Linked DNA regions of Arabidopsis thaliana. The protein of the gene in region 2 interacts with the protein of the main gene of each other region in a pairwise test. Each region holds a gene or a part of one and is shown on either strand. Other genes may lie near its edges.

The links.
Region 1: the proteins of AT2G39440 (region 2) and AT4G20325 interact in a two-hybrid assay, tested with the Arabidopsis thaliana proteins (one study listed by BioGRID).

The regions. Positions count from the first base shown.
Region 1 is NC_003075.7:10,978,134-10,983,377, reverse strand, and holds AT4G20325 (ribonuclease H2 subunit B), read right to left. Parts: upstream 3,638-5,244; 5' UTR 3,489-3,637; intron 3,290-3,488; 5' UTR 3,255-3,289; coding exon 3,197-3,254; intron 2,878-3,196; coding exon 2,818-2,877; intron 2,716-2,817; coding exon 2,614-2,715; intron 2,516-2,613; coding exon 2,439-2,515; intron 2,341-2,438; coding exon 2,217-2,340; intron 2,015-2,216; coding exon 1,950-2,014; intron 1,751-1,949; coding exon of another isoform or gene 1,742-1,750; exon of another isoform or gene 1,596-1,741; coding exon 1,526-1,595; intron 1,427-1,525; coding exon 1,351-1,426; intron 1,250-1,350; coding exon 1,156-1,249; intron 1,060-1,155; coding exon 952-1,059; 3' UTR 732-951; downstream 1-731. Other genes in the region: AT4G20330 (Transcription initiation factor TFIIE, beta subunit), read left to right, coding at 1-17, 345-695; AT4G20320 (CTP synthase family protein), read right to left, coding at 4,380-4,552, 4,651-4,744, 4,817-4,897, 4,998-5,046, 5,140-5,225.
Region 2 is NC_003071.7:16,467,172-16,471,331, forward strand, and holds AT2G39440 (ribonuclease H2 subunit C-like protein), read right to left. Parts: upstream 2,458-4,160; 5' UTR 2,326-2,457; exon of another isoform or gene 2,146-2,325; intron 1,977-2,145; 5' UTR 1,943-1,976; coding exon 1,804-1,942; intron 1,708-1,803; coding exon 1,615-1,707; intron 1,395-1,614; coding exon 1,204-1,394; intron 1,115-1,203; coding exon 1,049-1,114; 3' UTR 659-1,048; downstream 1-658. Other genes in the region: AT2G39445 (Phosphatidylinositol N-acetylglucosaminyltransferase, GPI19/PIG-P subunit), read right to left, coding at 2,854-2,981, 3,198-3,599, 3,939-3,954.

The DNA.
Region 1 (5,244 bases), on a different chromosome or scaffold from region 2:
TAATGGAGGATTTGAAGGTATGCATTGTTATAATTGGCAAGACACAAAGATGACAGAAATGTATCCCGTAGATTCTTGGTAGCAATTCTGATATGAATGGTGGCATGAGAAATGAAAGTTCTCTAAGCATTGGTTTTTGGTTGGACAATCAATTAGACAGCTTATTTCTAGGTGGAGTATGACTGAAAACCATACCGGGATCCTGTCTTATATTGTGTTTTCTGCGGCGTCAAAAGTTGTAGGAACTGCTGTATTTTGCTAAGCAGATGGGGAAAATATATGTTACTCTTTGAAACCAAACCAGGAAGGTATTGAAAGTTTCAAGACTGTCTTGTATTTTGCAGGCTCTGAGTGCTTCAGGGGACATCTACTTGCTATCAAATTCACAAGAGGACATTGCATACCCAAATGATTTCAAGTGTGAGATTAAGGTTGATGACGAATTTAAAGCTCTATTCCGTGACATAAACATCCCGAACGACATGCTGGACGTGGAGAAGGAGCTGCTGAAAATCGGTTTGAAGCCGGCGACAAACACTGCAGAGAGGAGAGCTGCTGCACAGACGCATGGCATATCGAATAAACCAAAGGATAAGAAGAAGAAGAAACAAGAGATCAGCAAGAGAACCAAACTCACCAATGCCCATCTTCCCGAGCTTTTCCAGAACCTTAACGGCAGCAGTTCCCGGAACTGAACCTCATAAATGGATGATCATGCGGTTCTAAATTCATATTGAGCCTGAATTTTCTTGTAATTGTAATAATTGTTACAATCTTTAGTTTACAAATTACAATGATTCTCATGTATTCTCACGACATTTGCTAGAAATATAGAATAAACACATTTGGGAGTTGGGTCTTTGTTCAAGATGTTATAGCTAAGCGAAGATCATCCGATAGCATAATAGAATAATCATAAATAGTTGGCTAGTTTTAACCGATTTTGAACATTCAGCATTTTTTCTTACAAGCCCTTGAAAACATATCCCTTATGTTCTTTGATCCAGTCTCTACCTTTGCTTGCTTTGTCTGTTTTCCTGGCTTCTTATTCGCTTTCTCCTAACAAATGTAAACAAGGACAGTTAGTAACCAAGAACAAGGAACACAAATATATGGAACTTAGAACTCTTGCCTACAGTTTTTGCATACACACACCTGTATTGAATTTGATGATGCCATGTTATTCTCATTTGCAGTTGGAAGATTCTCCATATTGGTTTCTTTCATCGTCGGGTCAACAAATTTGAGTCTGTAAAATAAACCAGACAAAATGAATGCTTCTGTCAGGAGCTATATGATTCGCTTTAGCTGATTGGTTGAAGATTTCATATTTTAATTTTGAAAAAGTACCCAAGATGATCATATAGAAGCTTCAACCAAGGCTCGGTCTTCAGGTACTCTCCTACAATTGAGACGGAATCTACCACTGTACAGATTAAAGGTGATATCAGTGAAAAGACATGTCATATCACCTCTTTAAGGGTCAACTTCAAGCAAGTAAAATGATCTCTGTTCTAGGACTTACATGTTTGTTTCTCATCTTGAGCTGCATAGTTTTTGTCCAATTCCGGTAGAGAATTCTTTAAACAGTAGATCTGCGTTCATAAAAGTGCAGGCACGTTAAGGATCTAAATAAAACAGATACGAGCTTACTTGCATTCTCTTTTCTTCAAATCCATGCAGAAAGACAAGAATTATAGAATGCCAAACAAAAAACAATTAGAGTGCAGGCAGCATTAAATCAGCTTCTCTGCAAATAAATAATTTTCGTTAGGCAATACCCAAAAAGATATATAAGCATTAGACATGCCTCATCCCTGAAACATATGTGATGCACAAAACATAGTGATTCAGACCCATGTATCACTTTCAAATGGCGAATATATCATGAAAATTTCAACTGGATTGTAGAGAAGACTGTAATAAATAATCTTCTGACAAGAGCATACCTTACAACTTAACCAAGCTAAGACTTTCGAGTTATCAAGCCGATAGAACTTCATCGATCCAACCTCTGCAAGAAGAGAACAAGAGAATGAGGAAATTGAACAACTAGAGATCACCAAGCTCTTCAAGAGTGATGAGAAACATACAGATAATATGCATATAAGAAGGATTAAAAAATTCTACAAGAAGAAAGACCAGGAAATCTGAAAATTATGGTTTCGATAAGTGTGTGCAACTATGACTTCCATAACTAAACAGTGGGAATGTACCTTGAGTTTGACAAACGATTTCCATACACTTCTCTGCAAGTGACAACAAATGTTGATATCCAGGATATCCTTCCACAAATAAAATCTCATCTAGTTGCCTGAACTTTCCAGAATTTTCACCTTTCTACAGATCGACAATTTAAGAACACTATCAACATTTCTGAGAAATGGAAATCAGACAGGACATAATGAATTGAGAAGAGCAAAGGATCATAGAGTGACCTTCATTCTTGCTTCGTCGAAAATAGGCAACAATATGAAAACAGGATCAACTGGAGTGGCCATATATAAGCTTCCATCTGTAAATAGTAAACCGTCATGAACATAAGGAATATAATATTTGTATAAACATTGATGCTGGCTCACATATTATTATGATTCGAAATTTAGCATTTACCTTCAGATATGTAATCTCCCAAGAACCAAGAACCATAAGATTGCTTAAACCACTGAAGTTCTTGAAGCATCTCATTATTAAAAAGGAAGCATGTTCCATTTTCTGGCATAGAAGCAAAGATACCAAACCACAAAAGATGTTACTAGCTGAAGTTTTCCCCAAAACACAACATAGCAAGCCTGACAATCATCAACATCCCATTACCTGATTTTGGATGGCGGAGTGTTAACAGTTCTCCGGGTTTGTTTCCGCCACAACCTGAATCTTTACATATGAAGCAAAAAAATGGTCAAGTTCTTCTTTAAAGCATCTAAGACTTCCAACTATCATAGCCAAGGAAAGATTCAACTTTAAATAGTCATCAGCACATCCTTTCAATTATGATGAGTATATCTATTTAACGAACTAAACAGTCTACATAAGCTTACCGGATATAACTAAAGCTCATTTCTTATTCAAATCTAACTTCGCCAATCATTGATATATAAACATTGACCAACATTTTTCATAGACATTCATACACCATTGCAGCATCTAATTTGCAAATCCGTCTCAGAACAGAATGTATAGTTAAAGAGAGAACCTGGGGCTATGAGAACTCGTGTCTTCTCAGCTCCTTCCCACCAAACAGTAGAACTCATCTTCAAGCTTTAGCAAACCTAAATTTCTACGAATTCTGACACCAATAAGACAAAAGTCCCAAGGAAGGGTTAAAGAGCCATAATTCAGCCGAGCCAAGTACAAGCTATATCAAACTCATAGAAGACGATACTCTTTCCTAAAACTGAAGTAAACTTTACAAAAGCCTAAAACGAGAGCTAGGCGAGAAAAGATTGAAGATTACGACAACCCTTAACACCAATTAGGTAGCATACCGTGACGACGGCAAGAAGGCTCGCAATTAGTGAGGTAAATGAATCAGGACGAAATCTCTGTAAGACATTTCATCGAACAGTTGGTGTACAATATTCAACCCCAAAAGATTTGGATCAAACAGAGAAGCGACGATTATATTCACCAGATTGGCGCCATAACCGAAGTAGCGCGCGCATTTAAATATGGGCCTGCGCTATCACCAAAAAAGACTAGGCCCATAACAACTTAAAAAGAAACGCCCGCTTAAGTCTCAAACGCTTTGTTTGAGTTGGTTTAGTCTCTTCGCTAAGAAACTAGACATTTTTAGCACGACAAGTCCAACGGATTAAACAAAACCGTCGAGAAACTTGCATTTTCACCAACTTCAAGAAAGGACATACAACAAGACCTTCTAGAGATGCACCATTTTGTGAAATCAAAACACAAGTAAAAAGAGAACTAGTTTTATAACCATTCAAATAACAGAGAAAAGGCTACATTAACATACAGAGAAATCAAACTATGTACCGGAAAAACATCGGTACTTCTCTGGAAATGTTTAAACCATAACAACCCAAAAAAAAAAAAGAGCAAAAGGAAAAAGCTACTGATTAATACTACTACATAAGAATCTAAGAAACACAGCAACGGAGACAGAGAGTCAATCCCAAGACTCTCTTTAAATACTACCCATTACAAAAGACAAAGGTAATATATGTTTTAATGCTGCTTGTGCTTAGTGTTCATCTTCTACTTCATAATCTTAAGAAAAGCATCTCATAAAAAGCCAATCTTCAAACTGTACAAACTCATTGCCTTCTCTCTCCCTCCACAGGTGAAGAAATCCATGTTAAAAATTCCGGATAAATAGCTTTTTTAGAGAGAAGTCATTGTTGATGCAGATACGGTGTTCACGAGTAGACACGATCACATAAACTGTACACAACACTGACTGGCTTCTTCGCTGCACCTTTCCAGTAAACTCTCTCTAGTTTTCCGTTGGGTAGAGAACGTGGAACGACGGTTTCTTGGTAGCTTTGTAGCAGAACAGTGTCTAGTTCTCCACTAGCTGCTCCAATTAGTCCTGCAATTTTTAATTCAAAAAAAGGTTTTAGTTAAGGTATGTGCTTACACGAAGAAAGAAACCGAGGGCTTTTGCATTATTTTTATGTTTCTCTTCACCTAGAAACAGAGGAGATGGTTTTCCGGGTCTTGATTTGTACTCGGGATGGAACTGAGCTCCGACGTAAAACGGATGGTTAGGCAGTTCAATGATCTGTATTTTCAAATGTCAAGAATTATAATCAAGAAGATGAAATTTTTTGTGGTGTAAAAGATCCGTTTTTACCTCCATTCGCTGCCCTGTCTCGTCTTTTCCTGTGAATGTGAGTCCAGAGCTCTCAAAACGTGGAACCATGGCTGGATTCACCTGTAAGAAAGCATCTTGTTTTAGCTTAAAATGTCAAAGAGATGCGTTTTTTTTGTATACTCTGAGAGCTGCCACAAAACTGTGTCGGATGCTTAAATACCTCATATCTGTGTCGGTGTCTTTCATCTACAAAACTTTTGTTCCCATATCTGAAACATTCAAACGCATCATAATATATAGGTTAAGCTCAAAGATGCATAAAGATGAAACTCTTTTGGGTGGAGAAAGAACTTCGTGCTTACAGTCTTGCTGATTTGGAGTCCTTAGAATGAAAATAAGTTCTTCTTGAGCCTAACCTCATAGTGCCTCCCATATGCGTTTTCGACCCCTGCTTCAAACAAAAATTA
Region 2 (4,160 bases):
TGAAGAATGACCCGCTTTCTCCAATCTGCTAGAAGATGACCCGCTTTCTCCAATCTGCTAGAAGATCTTGGAGTCTTACGCGTTTCTTTCTCCCTTTTCTCGCTTTCCCTTATCTCTCGCTCATGTAATGTTAGAGCGGACTGCTTAACTCGCTCTTCTAGATTTTTATTTTCTGAAGTTACCTTTGTAAATACTTTTCCTCTTAATTGGGTAACCAATTATGGAGTTTCTTTTTAATTAATGTATGGTTGAAAGAAAAAAAAAATATTTTGTTTTATTTGGAAACTGAATAATAGAACCACATAGATAATTTGACCCAAAACAGAAGAAGATAGAATAGACAAAAATGAGAAACCTACATATTGAAAAGTCACTAAAAAGACAACTATATCATTGCTCATATATGCATTTTAAACTTAGATTTAATTTAGGGATTATTCACTAAGATCTGATTACAATTATATCTTATTACCTTAGTATACAAAATTATCTATTATGAAAATTCAATGGATTGCATTGACTTTGTTCTGATGACAATTACAATCATAAAATTGAATAATATAAACCGATTAGGTTAAAAATTTACAAGAAAAGAATAAGAAATTACAAAAATATGTATTTGGAAACAAGTAAAAAACTAAAACTAAAATAGACTAATATTTTCTTCTAATTTCATTTCCAAAAATCATAATCATAGCAGAAAATATAATAGCTTATCAAATATACTCCACAACATATTTGTTCACCTTTGGTTTTCGAAGATTTTTCAAATCATAAAACAGACCAAAAAACACTCATGGAGGAGAGTCTTAGACCAGAGATAAAAATTCCAATGCTTGTAATGACTGTTATTAAAGGAAATTGAACTGATTTCTCTAAAGAATAATATGATTTTCATTTCTTATAAAAAACAGCTTACAGAAGAAATACATGATCCAGGCTCGAACAAGCCTGAAGCCAACAAGCCTTGAGAATTTCATGTCATAGATCACTTACTTGCTAGTTTCACAAGATGTTTTGTTCAAAACCCGAAACGGTAATTGCCACTTCATATTTTATTCTTTCCACCATGTGAAACTGCAACCAAGTCTTCAACTTTCACTGGTTTATGCAGCTGCAGACAAACCATTGTTCTCCATCAAGTTAGGAACAGAAAAACTTATGAGCTAAGCCAACAAGAGATGGATGGAACTATACACTCACCGCTTCTGCAATGCTAAACCAATGAAAAGAGCGAAAGAAAGTATCGTCCTTTGAAGGAAGACTATCGTGATTCCAGTATGTCAGGTTATTGAATTTCGCCTTCACTTCCCAACACTGGTTATCTTCTGTGGGCATAGAAGCTTTTCTCTTTCCATTAGCATTCAAGTTACTCGCTTGTCTAAGCACAAAGCCTGAACATGTCAAACACAAACGAATTGTCAATAACCAAAACATAAAATTCTTCAACACCATAATGATACCAATAGTAGCAGATTCTTCAGGACATGTCAAAACTCTCTAACTAAAATCTCCATCAACAGGAATGTGTAACATTCATCCAATCATACTTTGATAAACATCCGTAAGAAATCAAAAGTTTGCAACTTTTTCTCAGTAAGAAAAAAAAGGTACCAGAATAGCCACTAGGGAGTGAGATAGTTGCTCCCTGCAACTTCCTTCCTCTGAAATGAGCTTCTTCCGTTTTTACTCCATCGATTTCAACATCTACAAATTCAACAGCTTTCCACATTAATCTCACTATAGAATACAACACATAAGTGAAAACCAGAAATACATAAACATACAAGTGTTGTTTGTTACCGCTAGATTTAGGCTTGAAATAGTGGGAAACTTCAACAGGACCATCAAATCTAATGCAGCAAGGGAGCTGGTGAACTTGACTGCTGAGATCCACAATGGAGTTTTCATCTGCAGCAGCTCTAAAGTCTATGGTTCCCATCAGAGCCCACTTGTATCAATTCCTCAGATTCCTTCTATACCATAATTAGCCAAAGTTAACAATTTGGACAATGGTTAAATCCCAAACCCATAAAACACTAGTCAAATTGGTATGAGCAATCGTCTTATAACAGTAGAAAATAACCTAATCTACCAAAATTTGATTCTCTGTTATATCAATCCATAAAGTATCAATTTTGCTACCTCGAAGATCATAGTCAAATGAACCCAGGAGAGAAATATCCCTCCAGTCCCAGATTTTGAGTTTTAGTTCGAACAAAACTCGAAAATTTGGTGACGAGAATTAAACTCTACCAATACAGAAGAGTAGAGAAGAAGAAGCAAATAAAACGGAAATCACAAAATGCCAAACACAAGTCTTACATTACAAAATCAAGCAAAAGCGCACGACGGAGATTGAGAGAATTGGTCTCTGAGAGAAAACTGCTAATTTGTGGTTTTCCCAAGGTGGGTTCTAAAATGGTCTGAATGTTTGATTTTTTTTTTTTTTTCACTGAATGTTTGATTATATTTACTTATATTTATACTGAAACAATTTAAATTATTTCTCTTAAACACATTTTTTTTTTATGGTTAGTGTTTTTCTTGATAGATTATTGTACTTCATTTTCGGACATCCAGGCTTGTAAAAAAAAGCATGCATAAGTTTTTATATAATCATGTTTTACGGGTCAATTACCAAACTTGAGTTTCTCTTGATGATTTCTACTGGTAATGGTTGACATATAAGAAGAAAGATAGTGCAGGATCCATCACTGGACTGGAGATAATCATTAATCACAATCTCCTTTTACACGTGATCACTCTACTAGTCACTAAAACCTGAATCCATTTACTAATGAGAGTAATGGCTTAGTCAATATGGTTACTACCTCTAGAGAATTTGAAATTTTAATCACTTGAATTGAACATAAGATCATTTATTCTTGTAATATCAATGTCAGAGATTGGATCTATAGGCCTGTCTTCACCTTCCTCCATCCCAGCAGCAAATTCACCAGGTTCTCTACTGTACTCATCTGCCATACCAAACAAACAAACATAACTAGAATTATCATCCTAAGCAAACTCCCAAAACCACGCCCTGCAGATCCAACATTTCGAAGCATTCTAGCTCTAGCTATTGTAATGACACAGCGAGCACTTACTTGAGAAAACAGATTTTTAGGAAACAATTTCTCATATCTCCAATAACATCAGATGAGAGGAAATTAAAGAGCGGTGCGGGCACTCACCAAACAAGGTATTGAGAGAGGTTGGGGGTGGAGTGGCGATGAAGTTGAGACCAATGTAAAAAGCCAAAGCTAACATCAGAGTCACCATCAAATACGTTGGCATAGCCAATACCCAATACCTACTAGGGTAGTAATGGATTCCTATAGACTCCAACAACTTATCTGGAACATATGCCCATACCAAGAAGATGACTGTGGCAACAACAGTCGATATCGATCCTACGAAACCGTACACCTCTGAGGGTTTAGGTCCATGCACTTCTGATGCTCTAAATGAAGATGACCTTCTACTGTCTGTATCTTGGAAACCAGGCTTTTGCTTATTTCTCTTCGAGAAGCTTAAAACTCGTCTTGGACTACTCACTGAATGAGCTTCTTCAATGTTTTGGTCAAAGGAAGAGACTGAGAAATGAAAGAAAGATAATCAGTTGTTGGTTTTTCTCTCCTTGTCTGCTGTAACTAGATATCAATTATGAAGATTGTAAATAGATTCTGTACAGATCAAGATAGACCAATTTGAAGGACTACATATAAACGAATTAAAATGAAAACTTTATTAACCTCACTTAGTGGAAGCTAATGAGGACGATATTGAAACTAATCACCTAACGAAACATGATTGAAAACATTAATCTAGACCAGTTAAATAGCGTCTCCATCAAAACTAAAGACTAATGGTAGAAGATTCAAATCCATCACGTTCTAGTGAGATTCAAGGGGTTATCAATGAAAAGATCGTACCTTTAGCCGGAGACATGGCTCGAAATGATTCTTCACACTAGAAATCTGTCTCAGGAAAACGAAAATCAGTTAAGGATCGGACAAAAGAAATGTAGGGAGATATCGAGAGACAGATTGCAGAATCGAGACACGAACCTGGAGAGGTGAAGCAGCTGAGACTCAAACTACTTTGTTGGGCCTCGAATGGGCCTTTAACCACAATCATCATCTAACCCAGTAAGA